Linked DNA regions of Caenorhabditis elegans. The protein of the gene in region 2 interacts with the protein of the main gene of each other region in a pairwise test. Each region holds a gene or a part of one and is shown on either strand. Other genes may lie near its edges.

Region 1 (8,591 bases), on a different chromosome or scaffold from region 2:
ATTAATATTGAAATTACAAAGTCTTCAAAATTTCCAAAAAGAACATACAGGAACATGTAGAAGAATTTCCAGTTTGTGAGTACTGAACTATTTCCAAATTTGATAAAAGTGACAGACTTGTGAAACCAGAGTTGGCTATCGTTATGCATCCAACTATTTTTGTGACATTTTCCAGCTTGTATTCAACGATCTTAAACAAATTATTGGAATCCTATAGTGTTTTGAATAAATAAAACCTCAAACGGTGGCATTGTTGACTCGAGACCCATTTGAATATGTCCATGAATTGTTGTGCAGTTGTCGGGTAATTTGTCCAACTCACATAATGGGCAATAACAATCTGTAAATGATATATTCAAAGTTATCAAAAGTATTACCGATTAGAATGATATTTAAGATTTTTGCATTTGGCAATTGGAAAATAAAATTTAAAACGCAGTTTTTTCCCTATTAGACTTGCACCATCATTTCTCTATTTTGACGGCTCATATTTCGGATTTCTTAAGTGAACTGTTTCAAAAACTGTTTCAGAATATAGATCAATATTTAGCGCGTATTTTGTCAATTAACAAATTTTTGATAAAACCAAAAAAAACCGAGATAAGCTGGACAGTTAGAAGAGAGTAGTAATTTCTTATAAATTTAATTGTTATCCAACATTTTGCGAAATTTCGTCTCTAAACCAAAACTAACTAAAATAGTAATATGTTTACTATTTCATTTTCACTTACCATCTCCAATTACAAAGTGATATAACTGAGTAAAAAGAGCGGCAATAAGTGGCCATTGCATAAATTCCAGCGCGTTACTCTTTTTCGTTGCAACCAGACGATAGACAAACAAAACTTGTGATTAGATTAACCAACTCAAAAACTGCTTTATTTTTTATTATTTCCGCCCACCCTCCGGAAAGCGATTGTCATAGTAACCAGCGAATTTCGCACGCCTTCTAGCTACTGCACTCGCTGGTTTTTTTTTAATGAAAAATAGTCGAAAGGTGGTTAGTGGGAGTTTTGAAGATTACGTAATTATAGAGAGCAGGATGCTGAACTTTCAGATTTTATTCAAATTATATGATCATTAGTTTCAAAAGTTTACCAACAAAAAAGACAAAATAAGTACATACATACGCTTGAAAAATCAAATAATCATGATTTTAAATACAAAAAAAGGAATTTCGGGAAATTGTCAAATCGTCAAATTACCTGAAAAGTTTAAAAAAATGTGCTTTAAAGAAAAATACTCAAAGTGTTATGAAAATACCACAAAAATAAAAAAGAATGAACAAACCAAAAAGGCAAGTTTCAATTGTGACTGTTCTCCATTTTTAAACTTCTTCCAAAAGTATAAGCCACGCCCATTTTCTAACCACTCAACGTCTTCAAACTCTACACAATCGTCCTGATTGGTTGAAAAGTGGGCGGAGCAAATCACTGATTGGTCAAAGTTTTTATTTCGGAGGGAATTCAAAATCGCGGTTTTAATAGTTCGAATTTCCATTTTTCTGCGGTTTATTTTTCGATTTTATTTTGTGGTTTTTTGAATTTCGGACTATTTTTATGTTTTAAAGAAACATCCTAATTTTAATCTACACTTTCAAGCTTCTGAAAATAAATACTGAAGTTCAATTTGTCAATTTCTTCTCAAATATTTCAACGTTCAGGACAGTTATCATAATCTTCGAGAACCAACAAACCAGCTGCATCTTCCCGCCGTTCATATCCTCATATCTTATTGATCTTTTTTTCAAATTCCCATCGGTTTCAAAACTTATGAGTAAATAGTCAAACAAAGCCTAAAAACCAGTAAAAGACTCAACCAAGAACTTTTCAAAATCCGATCCGCGCACCCCACGCACACCGATTGATATCGGCCGCCGCTGTGTTTGCAGGAGATGGCTGGGGGCGTCTTTCGTCTGTTGCTCCCCAGATCTTTCTCCAACTTCTCTGCGTCTCAAATCTTTTTTGGCTCCCGGGAGCACTCGGCACACTCATCCCCAACTCTCCAAGTACACCCCACTTTATTATTATATTCGATTCGTCTTCTCGTTCTATCCTGTTTTTTTTTAATTCGAAATTCCAATATTTCTAAAATTCAATCCTTATGAGCAGTTCTCCACAAAATGAAGCAGAAGCTCGCGAAAAGGTTTGTTCTAAAAAATTTATTTTTTTAAAGAAAATCTTAAATTCGTCGTTTTCCAAACATTTAAAAATTAATTTTGTGGACAACTGGAAATGAAATATACTTTAAACATCTACAAAAAATAATTATTAGAGACATTCATTGAAATTTTTTATCTTAAAAATATTGGTAACCCTATAACGGTCCTTTGAGTTTTAAAACTTAAATTTAAAATTTTTGTCAATTTTCAAAATTTTTATATTTCGTTTAAGCTCCCTATAGGTGCTGTACAAATTTTCTTTATTTCAAATAGACATTGCAACTTTAAAGTAACGTTTTTATTTTTTAAATGAAAAGTTATTCCACTGATTTTGAGAAAAAGTTAAGTCCCTGTACAACATTGATTAGTTGATTAGTGCAATCATCTCTAACCCACATGACCCATAGATTCTTTCAGATGCGCGAGCTGATGTCACGTCCACCATCGAGTCGACCAGCTGATTTTGTGAATCCTCTCGAAAAGATCGAGCAGTTGCTGACGTGTCCGATTTGTCTCGATCGCTACAAGTAAGTCTGTGATCTCAATCAGCTGTTCGTTTTGAAAGTGAGCAGACGAAATTGAAAGAAGAAGCACCACGGACAACCAAAACAAACTATTAGTGTGTAGTTCAAGGATAGACATAGGCCGTGTGACTTCTGACTGACCACTGTTATCATATGACCTAGGCTAAGTACCGCTTGGCTGAGGGGAATTTTTTTGAAAAAACGAGATAGACTTAGGGGATGCATAATAAACATCCGGTTGTTTACGCACTGTGCATCAAAACAATAATAAAATCAGACAGACTGTTATGATGATTAGCTAGGAGAACGTTATGGAGAAATCAACAATCTAAGATCCTGCAGGGATCTTTTAAAAATGAGGATCATTTTTGGGTTAAATCAACAACGTTTGTGTCAATAAATATAGACTAACCTACGTCAGAGTAAAAAGTGGAACATTAAAAAAAAGAGATGTTTCATTGATCTGTTATAGATGAACAAATGTAAACATCCATTTTAAAAACGAGAACCTTTTCTTGTAAAATATTTGAATAATACACTTATAGTCTCAAAAATAAAATAAAAAAAAGTAAAAAATTTGAATAACTTTGCACGAGACCTCAGACAATCATGACAAACATTGTATTTAGTGAACGTAGGGGTAAAGTTTTTCAAGCTTAGAAGGTGTAATACTATGATATTTTTCAACTCGCCATTTCTTGTTCTGTCTTCTCAAGTTTAATTTCTCAAGTTTTATCTTGCTAACTTTTTATAAATCTTTTTGTTTTTGAGAAAGACGAGTAAGAAGAGTTGGCGTAGTATTTTAGCCCACTAGGAGTGTTTTTAAACATTTTTTCTCAATGGCGATTATCTTCAAAACTCAACGTTTTTATTGAAGTTTCCTAATCATAAGTTTGCCAATTTTTTAGATTAAAAGCTCTAGCTTTTGGGCTATAACCCGGTGCTCATTGAAAATTCACAAAAATACCTCCTGCGATAAAAGAAACGTTTCAAATATTTTTTTTTTCAATTCAATAGATGATTGGAATTTTTTTCGAAATCTTAGAAATCATATGACAATATTTCAACTGGTGGCAATCCACTTTTTAACAATGAAACACTTCAAAATCAATCACACAGTTGTTCTCAACTCATTGTTAGAGTATTTCGAAACAGCTTCACCGTTGTATCTATCTCCATGTCGAACGGCTTTTCCTCTACTTTCTCTTTTCTCTTTTTTACAATCGAGAAGGGAGCCAAGAGAAGACTTTTCAATCGGATTCTCCGCCAGTTCTCAACTATTTTGCCATTGGCTATGGGGCTGCAAAGTGTGTGTATTACACCGATGAGGAAACGAAGAAGCCTGCTGGACGTGATCTCTTTGAAAGATATTTAGAAAGAGAAACGAGACTTTTTATGATTTTTTAAAGTTGTGAAATCGTGAGATATTGACATTGGACATCTGAAGAACTTGGTAGTTGAAATGTAATACTTTGAGCTTTGATTTTTATAGAGATAAATGCTGAACAGAATGGCTAAACTTTTAAATATCAAGTTATAGATTTAAACTATTTTCAGACAACCCAAGCTTCTACCTTGTCAACACACATTTTGCTATCCATGCTTGGAAAGTTGTGCAGACACGTTACATCGCAATTTGAAATGTCCAGAATGTCGAGCAGAACACAATATTCCATATGACGGAGTAAAGGCGTTTCAGGTGTGAAAATAAGTATCACTTTGAAGCAAAATATTTCATTTTCAGCCAAACTACACATTAACCGGGTTTCTCGAGATTCATCTGCAGGCCACACCAGAATCGGCTGCAGAAATTGAAGAGTACATTCACAGGTACAATTTGGAACGGTGCAAGATTTGTGATGAGAAAGCAGACTGTGAACCATGTGCACATTGTGATAGAAAAGCATGTAAAGAATGTCGACAGACTCATATGGATATGCTTAAAAGAGACATGTCGCGACTTTTGAATCAGGTTAAACGGCTTGCCAATCGAATTACGGAAGCATCGGATAATTTATCAAAAGGAGTTGATATGATGACAATGAACTGTGAGACAACAAAAGCAGAAATTAAAGAATATTTCCACAGGTTTGTCTGAAAAGATATAAAAACCCGAAAAAAAAATTAAATTCAGATACCAGAGAGATCTGAAAAAGAAGGAAGACAACTTTCTCATGGAAGTTGATACATTTCAAGCTACTGAGACTCGTAATATGAGCAATCTTCGTGATGTTCTGGAAATTGAAAGTTCTAATATGAGTGAAGCAGTTTCTAGACTGGATGCTGCAATCAAGGTGGGATTTCATTGAATATTTTGAAGCTATCGAGAATTTCAAAAAGATATCATAACAAAAAAATCTTAAAATTTTCAGGGAGAATGTTCAATTGAAGATTCTGAACTTGTTCGAATGAAAAACACGTTTACGGAAGGGCTTGAATATCTTAGGAACTTTCAGGTAACTTTTTAATTTAATTGTTGAACATTTCTTATTGTATTAATGCTTTAGCCCGACGCCGACGAACTTTTTAATCGAAAACTCCGATTCTCAGCTGGAGATGATGCTGCTAAGCTTCCAGCAGCGATCACTACTTCTGGTGAACTTTGTGTTCTAGTTCCTCAATTTTCGGGAAGGTATATTTCAAAAACTTCAAAAAAAACGAAAATCTTTAGTCAATACTTTGTAGATACCTCCCTCTTGAACAATCATACCTTCCAAGACCATTCCGTTTACCATTGGAAAGTGACAGTTATCGGGTTAAATCTGACGAAAGAGCAAGTATGAGAGATCGAGAAGCTGATAGGACATCTTCAAGGCACAGGTATGTTCCATGGGAATTGGTTTTGGTTTTTTATTAACAAACGTGTGATTTTTAGTCAAGTAGTTTAGTTGTATAGTGTAGAACACTAATTATAGAAAATCAACATTGTTAAGGTGTCAAAATGAATCTACGTCCGGTCTCTGGCTCTCGACTTCATGTTTTCAGTTTTCTATGTAACGGCTTATTGTTGCAATTTACACTCAAATATAGTACAATTTATGTTTTATTCATTAAAATATCTTAGAGGTCGCCAGAATTGTGTCAAGATGCTAAATTTGCCATGCCAATAAAAATAATAATATTTAAGAAAGGGGCAACGGACAATTTAAAAAACTATTTAAAAGTTAATTATTTTCAAAATTTTATTCGAATTTTTGAAGAAAAACGGCTAGACAAAAAAGTAAAAGCGTTTCCGCGTTTTTATGTTGGTTTATTACTATCCAATTTTGGTTATTTTTTGGCCAAACACATATTGATCGCCCTTTATGAATATTAAATTTGGCACCGGCATTTTGACATAAATCTATTGAAGTTATAGTTCAATTTAGCTTGGATAATTTATTAAATGTATAATCTCACAATTACTTCTCCATACAGTTTCCCTCTCTAAACTATCCTCTTTTAATTTCAGTCATCGAAATCCTGAGCCTGATGAGTCCTCGATTCGTTACCGTCGTCGTCAGCAGCTGGAAGACGAAGCTTGGAATCGTCTCCGTAATTCATCTGCTGCTCCTTCTCTTCTTACTACATCAGTCACTGCGGACTCTTCATCACGAACATCGCCGTGGGCTGCTGATCGTGTCACCCGATCAGTTGAACCAACCAAGTCACGGCCAACAAGTCTGATTGTTCCGAATACTGAAACACCAAGAACTGTATCTCCAGCTAGTAAACCTCCTCTTCCACCACAATCTGTTGAACGGGTTGAGAGGACTGAAGATGCATCACCTGCTCCACTTCCACAACTTCCGATCCGAAAGCCACCTCTGCCACGTCAACAGTCCAGTAACGATGATTCTTTGAATGAGAAAGTGGAAACCATCCGTAGAGCTCATCAACAACGTCAAGATGCATCTAGAGCTGCATCAAGAGCAGTTTCAAGTGAAGAATCAGAGGGAGAGGATTTTCCCGTATCCACCAACCGCGGTAGAATACGAATAGTTTGTCGCGCGGCATCTGTAAACCGTGATGATGGACTGATGAGTATGATCCCAGGAACTGGTACGATCATAAATGTTCCGCCACCTCAACATCAACTTCCGGCATCCGCTCCGATCACCAATGGGACATCTGAACAAGTCGCGATTCCAGTCACACATTTCACAGGTGAGGAAGACGAAAGTGACATCGTCGTGCCAGCGTGGTTACAGCGTCGGAGGCAACGCTTCCAACGCTCGCGCACAAATCCCGACATACAGGCACAGTTCACAAGTGCTCGAGTGCAGCAGCTTCTCGCCGAACGTCAATCTCGTTTAGACTCTTCTACGACAACCGACGAAGAGAAAGAGAAGCTTGCCGTTTTGCGACAGCGTGGCCGCAGCGCTTCTCGTGAAGCTGGTGAATGGAGGGCTCGTGGTAGACCACGTGCAGTATTCGGACGAAAAGGTGCGAAGGATGGCGAGTTAAACTGGCCACGTGGAATTTGTGCATTGTCCGGAGGTCTTGTCGCAACTTGTGATTCGTCTAATCATCGTGTCTGTGTTTTCGATAAAGATGGAAAATTTGTTCGTCAGTTCGGAGGCTACGGTGCCGGTGCCGGACAACTTGATTCAGCTGCCGGGCTAGCAAGCTCAAAGCTCCGAGTTATTGTATCCGACAGGTACAATCATCGAATTTCCGTTTTTGGATTGGAAGGAGATCATTTGTTCTCATTCGGTGGACATGGACAGGGAAATGCTAAGTTCAATAATCCATGGGGAGTTGCTGTCGATGATTTGGGAAGTATCTATGTGGCTGATAAGGTAGGTCAACTATCATGAGACGTTTCTCAGTAATGCGAAAGTTCATAATTGTATACATTTTGATAAAAATTAACTTTGTTTATTAATTATCATCAAGAGAAGAACTTTGTTTTTGTAGATTCATATATTGCAGGCAAACCGGACGTCCGGTATTTTGAGTATCATTTTTTAATTTTTTTTTTTTTGGAAATTCGGACGCCGGACATTATTGTGGTCCGCTTTGCAGATCTAGATTAAATTTTAAAAAACATTGCCCCACATGCTAAAATACAAGTGAAGCTTAAATTATAGGATAATCACCGCGTCCAAGTCTTCGACAAAAATGGTCAATTCATTGCAAAATTCGGATCTTTCGGACATCTACCTGGTCAACTAAACAGTCCATTGTTCATAGCAGTTAGCAGAGTTACTCATCACGTGAGTGATTCCAGATAGATTCATGAATCATTCTGAATCGTTTCAGGTGTATGTATCAGATTCTTCGAATCATCGAATCAGCGTATTCGATCCCCACGGTGTTCATTTGTTTTCATTCGGCGAGGAAGGTTTTCATGGTGGACAATTCAAATTCCCACGTGGAATTGCTATTGATTCACAGGTAAGGCTGGAATGCTAAAGAAAAATTCTAAACCATTCATTTTCAGGAAAACCTAATAATCGCCGACTCCGGTAACAACAGGATCCAAGTTTTCGACGCCCAAGGTCAATTTGTCTCCTCTTTCGGAACTTGGGGTGGAGGAGCTGGACAACTGAAAGGTGTCGAAGATGTTTGTGTCACTGCTGACGGTTCAATTGTTGTCACCGATCGCGAGAATCATCGCATTCAGATCTTCTAAATTATGTTTTTTCGGGCCTTATTCTTGTTTCATTTTCAATTAAAATGTCTCCTTTGTAATTTTCTGTTATCGATACCGATGCCACCCAACTTTTTAGTGTTTTCATCTTTAGGTACAAAGCACTTTTACAAGTATTATTAATTATTATTACCCATTACGACTTTCGGTTTTAAAACACTTCTGTTTTCGAGTTTCAATAAAATATTTATTGAGAAAAAGGAAACATTCATTGGATTTCCGATTGCATTCGATTGTGGATTCTAAGCTTTGAAAGTGAAGAGGCAAGTTT
Region 2 (4,988 bases):
TGGTGATGATGATACTGACGGTGGAGGATTTCTTCGCTCCATTGAGACAAATCAAATGGATTTAAGAATCCATTTTCGTTGTTTCCAGATACTTGAGAAAGGTGTGCCATTTGAAGTCCAATGACAAGAAAGACAATCAAAGTGACGATCATCGTTTCACTCCTCGAATTATTTGAGCCAGGATATTGTAACTATCAGAATTCACACTTTTATAGTAACAACATTTGGGGCGGGACATTTTTTTGAAATTTCAAATGTTTTCTGTATTCGTTAAAAATAGCAATTTTTCTCATCGAGAGACTACAAGTCAGAAAGATTCAATGTATAATGTAATCGTGGGGTTTAAGAGATTTTGACTAAATAATTGTAACTTTTTTTCAAAAAATGAACTTTTTAACTTTGCACTTTAAAAAACAACATGTTACGTGTGAGTGTTACATCAGAGAAGTAACAAAGTGGATAAAAGTGCATAGAAAAAAAAGACTTTTCAAAACAAAATCACCAACTTAATGATGAGGCGTTTAAATGCAAAGGGCTTTATCAGTTAAAAGAAAGTTATTGGTAATAAGGGTAGTGAATCTGGGAATTTTAATGTCAAATAGTAAGCACGGGAATCAGTGACCACGTTTAACTCCTGAAGATCAGAGCTGTGCGGTAAATGAATTTTTGGCACTCGACAATTACCAGAGTTGGCAAGTGCAAAAGTTTGGTCAGCTTCAGCTGTCGCCAAAAATGAAAGTTCGAAAACTGTTCGGCAAACTGCAATCCGGAACTTTAGGATGCTTATATTATATTAGAGTGTTTTTTTTTTGGGAAAACATAGTTATTTTTGCATACAGTGCATCTAGCAAGCGGTAATATCTTATTTAATAGCCCTATTCTGGCACTTTTCGAATCTGTCGAGATTGTTAATTTAAAGTCTCATACTGTATCTAGACTCTAAAACTGATAAATCAGCAAAAACTTCAATTATGATTTCAAAATTCACTTCACTTAAAAAATGTATTCAGCGATTAGTATTTTTCGATATATAGATTTTTATTCAGCAATTGTTTTACCTGATTTAATTAATGAGAAAACGTCTTCGCGTAAGTTGTTTTACTTCATTAGTAAGATTAGAATTCATCGACGTAATTTATCACTCAGAATTCAGAACAAGCACATAAGCAAATAAAGTACTACGACAAAACTCAACATAATTACCAGCACACATTTGGCCTTTGAGCTACAACTGTTTGAATGGAGTATTTAAAAAATTATTGACAATATACAATAAACATCAATAAAATATTGAATATGGTATAAAAAAGACAAATTGGTACAAAACGTTTATTCTTGTGCCTGCTCGTCGCCTTCCAAAAGTTGTTCAGCTGCATCTGCTAGATTCCAGTCACTACCACCCAGAGCAAGAATTGATTCCAGCTAAAAACAGTATTTAAATAATGTGTTGGTCATTCCATGCATGAGCTCAAATTACTTATAAAAATTAAAAAAAATTAAACATTGTTTGATTTCTTACTCTAGAAAATCCCATTTCAATCAGAGAATCGACTTTTTTCTTCTGCCAGTCATCGTCTGGGAGCGGGCGTCCTCCAGCAAATTCTGTTGTCCAAAATCTTGCAGTTTTCTGAAAATTCGAAATATTAACAATTTACATAAGTTGTGAATGTGTTGATGTTCAGTATGTGGGCTTCAAATTCTCAACTTTTTTCAAAAATTTAGACATGAGATGCCAAATATTTTGATGTCACGTTACTTTTTCATTTCGACAAATAATTGATTGGAAAATCAGGAATGTTGTGTGCTTTAATTGCACAGACTTTTTTTTAAATTAAAATTGAAAGGTGCCCAGTTGAAAAATATACTGAGGAATCAAATGTCGAATAGATTAAACTATGGAAGAAAAAATTTCAATAAATTTCTGCAGCCTTCAAATATCATGTAAAATCCTGGAAACCTAACACTATTTGCAAATCTAAAAACCATCTAAAGTGAAACAGTTTTAATAGTCAAATGCTTAAGTTTTTAGAAAGAAAATGCCACGTTGTTTACATTTAAAACTAACATAGAACATGACCTCCTCGTCTACCTCGATTGATCGAAATAAATCTTCAATATAAGACAGTGCCTCCGAAACATTGAGTCTTAAAAGAAATAAAGAACAAAAATTGCAGTTAATAAAATGACAGCGTACCGTGAGTAATTTTCGATGTGAACTTGCCCAGTGCTTGGCTCTACCGCACAGTTCCAAATGAGAGTTTGGAACTTGATCTGGAATAAAAATGAAAGGGGTATACATATTTGTAATTTGACATACTTGTGGGAGCGCATTAGGATAGTTGTCTGGGAATGTGAGGTCCACCTCAAATACACCTGTCTCATAAGGAGTGTCAGCGGGTCCAGCGATGTGAAACTGACAATGGAAACAAAGTTGGATATTATTTAAGTTTTTCACATCTTTTAAAACTTAAAAAAAAAAACTGATTTAGTGATTCACATTTAAATACTTTAAAAAGCGAGTTCTCATAGTTTTCTGTCGAATATACCGTTATTTTTTTATCCTCTTCGTTCACCATCTCTATAATGTACAATTGTTGAGCAATTTCCATATCGTCAAGAAACCTTTTTTGGTTTTCATTCATTGCTCGATGTTTTTGTTGCCACAATTCTGAAAATATCACTGTCGCTCAAGATATTTTCTGTCATTGCATTCGAATCAACTGGATATGTGCACAAAAACCGACAAAAGTTTTGAATTAATGAGGGTATCGATGTGAAAACAAAAATAGTTGGAGTGGCAAACAAGAGAAAAAAAAAGAAAACTAGCCCTTTTTTTTCATCTTTCGTCTCTTCCCACTCTTTCCACAGAATTCTTGGTGTCGCGTGTGCAAGATAAAAAAGACTTGAATTTGGCGGGTGAAATGACTAATAGTAAGAGGGGAAAAAGAAAGAAGGAGATGTAAGGAAAAAAGAAGAATGTGCACCAAGATATGGGCAACGACACTCCGCCTCCAATGCACGTGTTATAGTAGAATGCAAATGAGCTTTTTTTCGTCCTTTTTTGAGTTTAAGTGGACCTTGAAAAACACTATGTACGATTAAGTGCCAATGAGATTTTTTATTACATTTTTCAAATATGAGCGTATCGAAATTGAATAAAATGCAATTTTCAGATAAAATGTCAAATCTCGCATTGGCACGGGTCACACGGAAGTGTAAAGAGGTGGCAAATGCTTCTGATATCACGGAAGCGGGAATTCATGTCGAAATAAAGGAGAACAATTTAATGGATATCAAAGTAAGAGAAACAGAACCCGAAAAGCACACATTTTAAGCATAAAATAAGTTTTAGGCGTGGCGCCCAATGTCATTCACTATAATCAATAAGTTTCGCTGTTGCGCAAACAGGTGTCTTTTTATTCATGGACCTTTGGAAAGAGGGGGCCCATTGTGAGAGAGGAAAAGCGCGAGACACTCAGACATAGAAAGAAGAATACATGGATTAATGTGGCGCGCGATAGTAGTGAGCAATCAGATTTATAAAGGCCATGATCCTGAGACATTTAGCACTGTGACATTTTGAAAAAAAATAATAAGTGGTATTTGAAATACATCATTTTTAATAAAAATTACCCATTAGAAGTAAATGAGCAGTGCATTCAATGCCAAATTTGTTGATTGTGTATTTGGAAAAAATTAAACGGGTGTTACCTATTCGTAAATATTAAAATTTGTGCACACTTTGTCTTCAAACTGAAAACTTTCAACTAAAAAAAAGTGGTACTTCACAGGAAAAAAAGAATTTAACAAGTTTTTACAACACTTTTGTCCCAAAAATGAAAATAAAAATCTTTTGAGCCTGTCGCCAACTGAACAATTCATAATTTTTAAAACTTGATTTCTTTTCTGAAAAGTGTCACTTGAAACTAGGTATATATAGTGCAGCTGTTTTTATCATTCTGAAGTTATAAAAGTAACATGTTTTCCATTTGAAAAATTTTAAGTGTTTCGTTATTTTTTGGTGATATTGGCGAACTTTTTAGCTGTAAAGAAATTTGCGGAGCCAGTCTTGGTTGTGACTTCTGCTTGCCAAATACTTCTAGAAAAGTTTTTGATTTATCAACTCCTGACCGAACCTCAGAAGAACTACCGTGTATGTGAATAAAACATGTGTAGATTACATACTACTAAAAAGTTTCAATTTAATATGTCCTAAAACGAACGGCATCAAAAACGTTTTTTTCCAGTTTTTATGAAAATATCATTGATGACTTTGCTTCAAAATGTACCCGTTGTTTTATTTAAAAATACATATCACTCCAGACTATGGCCAAATTTTTATTGAATTGCGTCTATCAACTATTCAGAAAATCGTCTAATTAAACATATCTGTATTTACACCAAAACACCATTACTTCAGGGATTCATCAAGGGTCCAGAGGGCACACCTTACGCCGGAGGTACTTTTGAAATAAAAGTCGATATTCCTGAACATTATCCGTTTGAGCCGCCAAAGGTTACCGAAATTATATTTCACATTCGCGCATTTGAGTATATACAGGCAAAATTTGTTACACGAATCTGGCATCCAAACATCAGCTCACAAACTGGAACCATTTGTTTGGACATACTCAAGGATAAATGGTTGGTTTTTACATGTTTCTAGTTAACAAATGGGTTTAAGGACTGCAAGTCTTACACTTCGGACAGTTCTTCTATCACTTCAGGCCATGCTCTGTTCTCCTGAACCATCGGACCCTCAAGATGCAGTGGTTGCCAAACAGTTTATCAATAATTATCCAATGTTTACGGTAGAAATTTTTTTTAATAGAAAATGTTTTTTGAGCTTTGATACAGACATACATAATCTGTAAAGCAAACCGAAATTTGTCACATACACTGATATTCGTTGAACTGGAATAACGGAGTTAACTTTTTAATAACGATATGTAGTTTTTTTAAAAAGTTAGAAAATAATATACTACATA

What was found.
Region 1: the proteins of ubc-22 (region 2) and nhl-1 interact in a two-hybrid assay, tested with the Caenorhabditis elegans proteins (one study listed by BioGRID).

Annotation. Positions count from the first base shown.
Region 1 is NC_003281.10:9,147,317-9,155,907, reverse strand, and holds nhl-1 (RING finger protein nhl-1), read left to right. Parts: upstream 1-2,005; 5' UTR 2,006-2,103; coding exon 2,104-2,145; intron 2,146-2,578; coding exon 2,579-2,688; intron 2,689-4,242; coding exon 4,243-4,384; intron 4,385-4,429; coding exon 4,430-4,773; intron 4,774-4,819; coding exon 4,820-4,979; intron 4,980-5,057; coding exon 5,058-5,141; intron 5,142-5,192; coding exon 5,193-5,317; intron 5,318-5,370; coding exon 5,371-5,505; intron 5,506-6,136; coding exon 6,137-7,466; intron 7,467-7,757; coding exon 7,758-7,883; intron 7,884-7,929; coding exon 7,930-8,064; intron 8,065-8,110; coding exon 8,111-8,302; 3' UTR 8,303-8,513; downstream 8,514-8,591. Other genes in the region: Protein irld-34, read right to left, coding at 49-190, 237-340, 732-792; ZK512.8 (uncharacterized protein), read right to left, coding at 8,563-8,591.
Region 2 is NC_003284.9:8,866,489-8,871,476, forward strand, and holds ubc-22 (UBiquitin Conjugating enzyme), read right to left. Parts: upstream 2,675-4,988; 5' UTR 2,643-2,674; coding exon 2,547-2,642; intron 2,414-2,546; coding exon 2,318-2,413; intron 2,272-2,317; coding exon 2,195-2,271; intron 2,145-2,194; coding exon 2,066-2,144; intron 1,628-2,065; coding exon 1,520-1,627; intron 1,423-1,519; coding exon 1,330-1,422; 3' UTR 1,115-1,329; downstream 1-1,114. Other genes in the region: ins-9 (INSulin related), read right to left, coding at 1-152; ubc-21 (Ubiquitin-conjugating enzyme E2 21), read left to right, coding at 3,137-3,298, 4,421-4,516, 4,562-4,644, 4,685-4,811.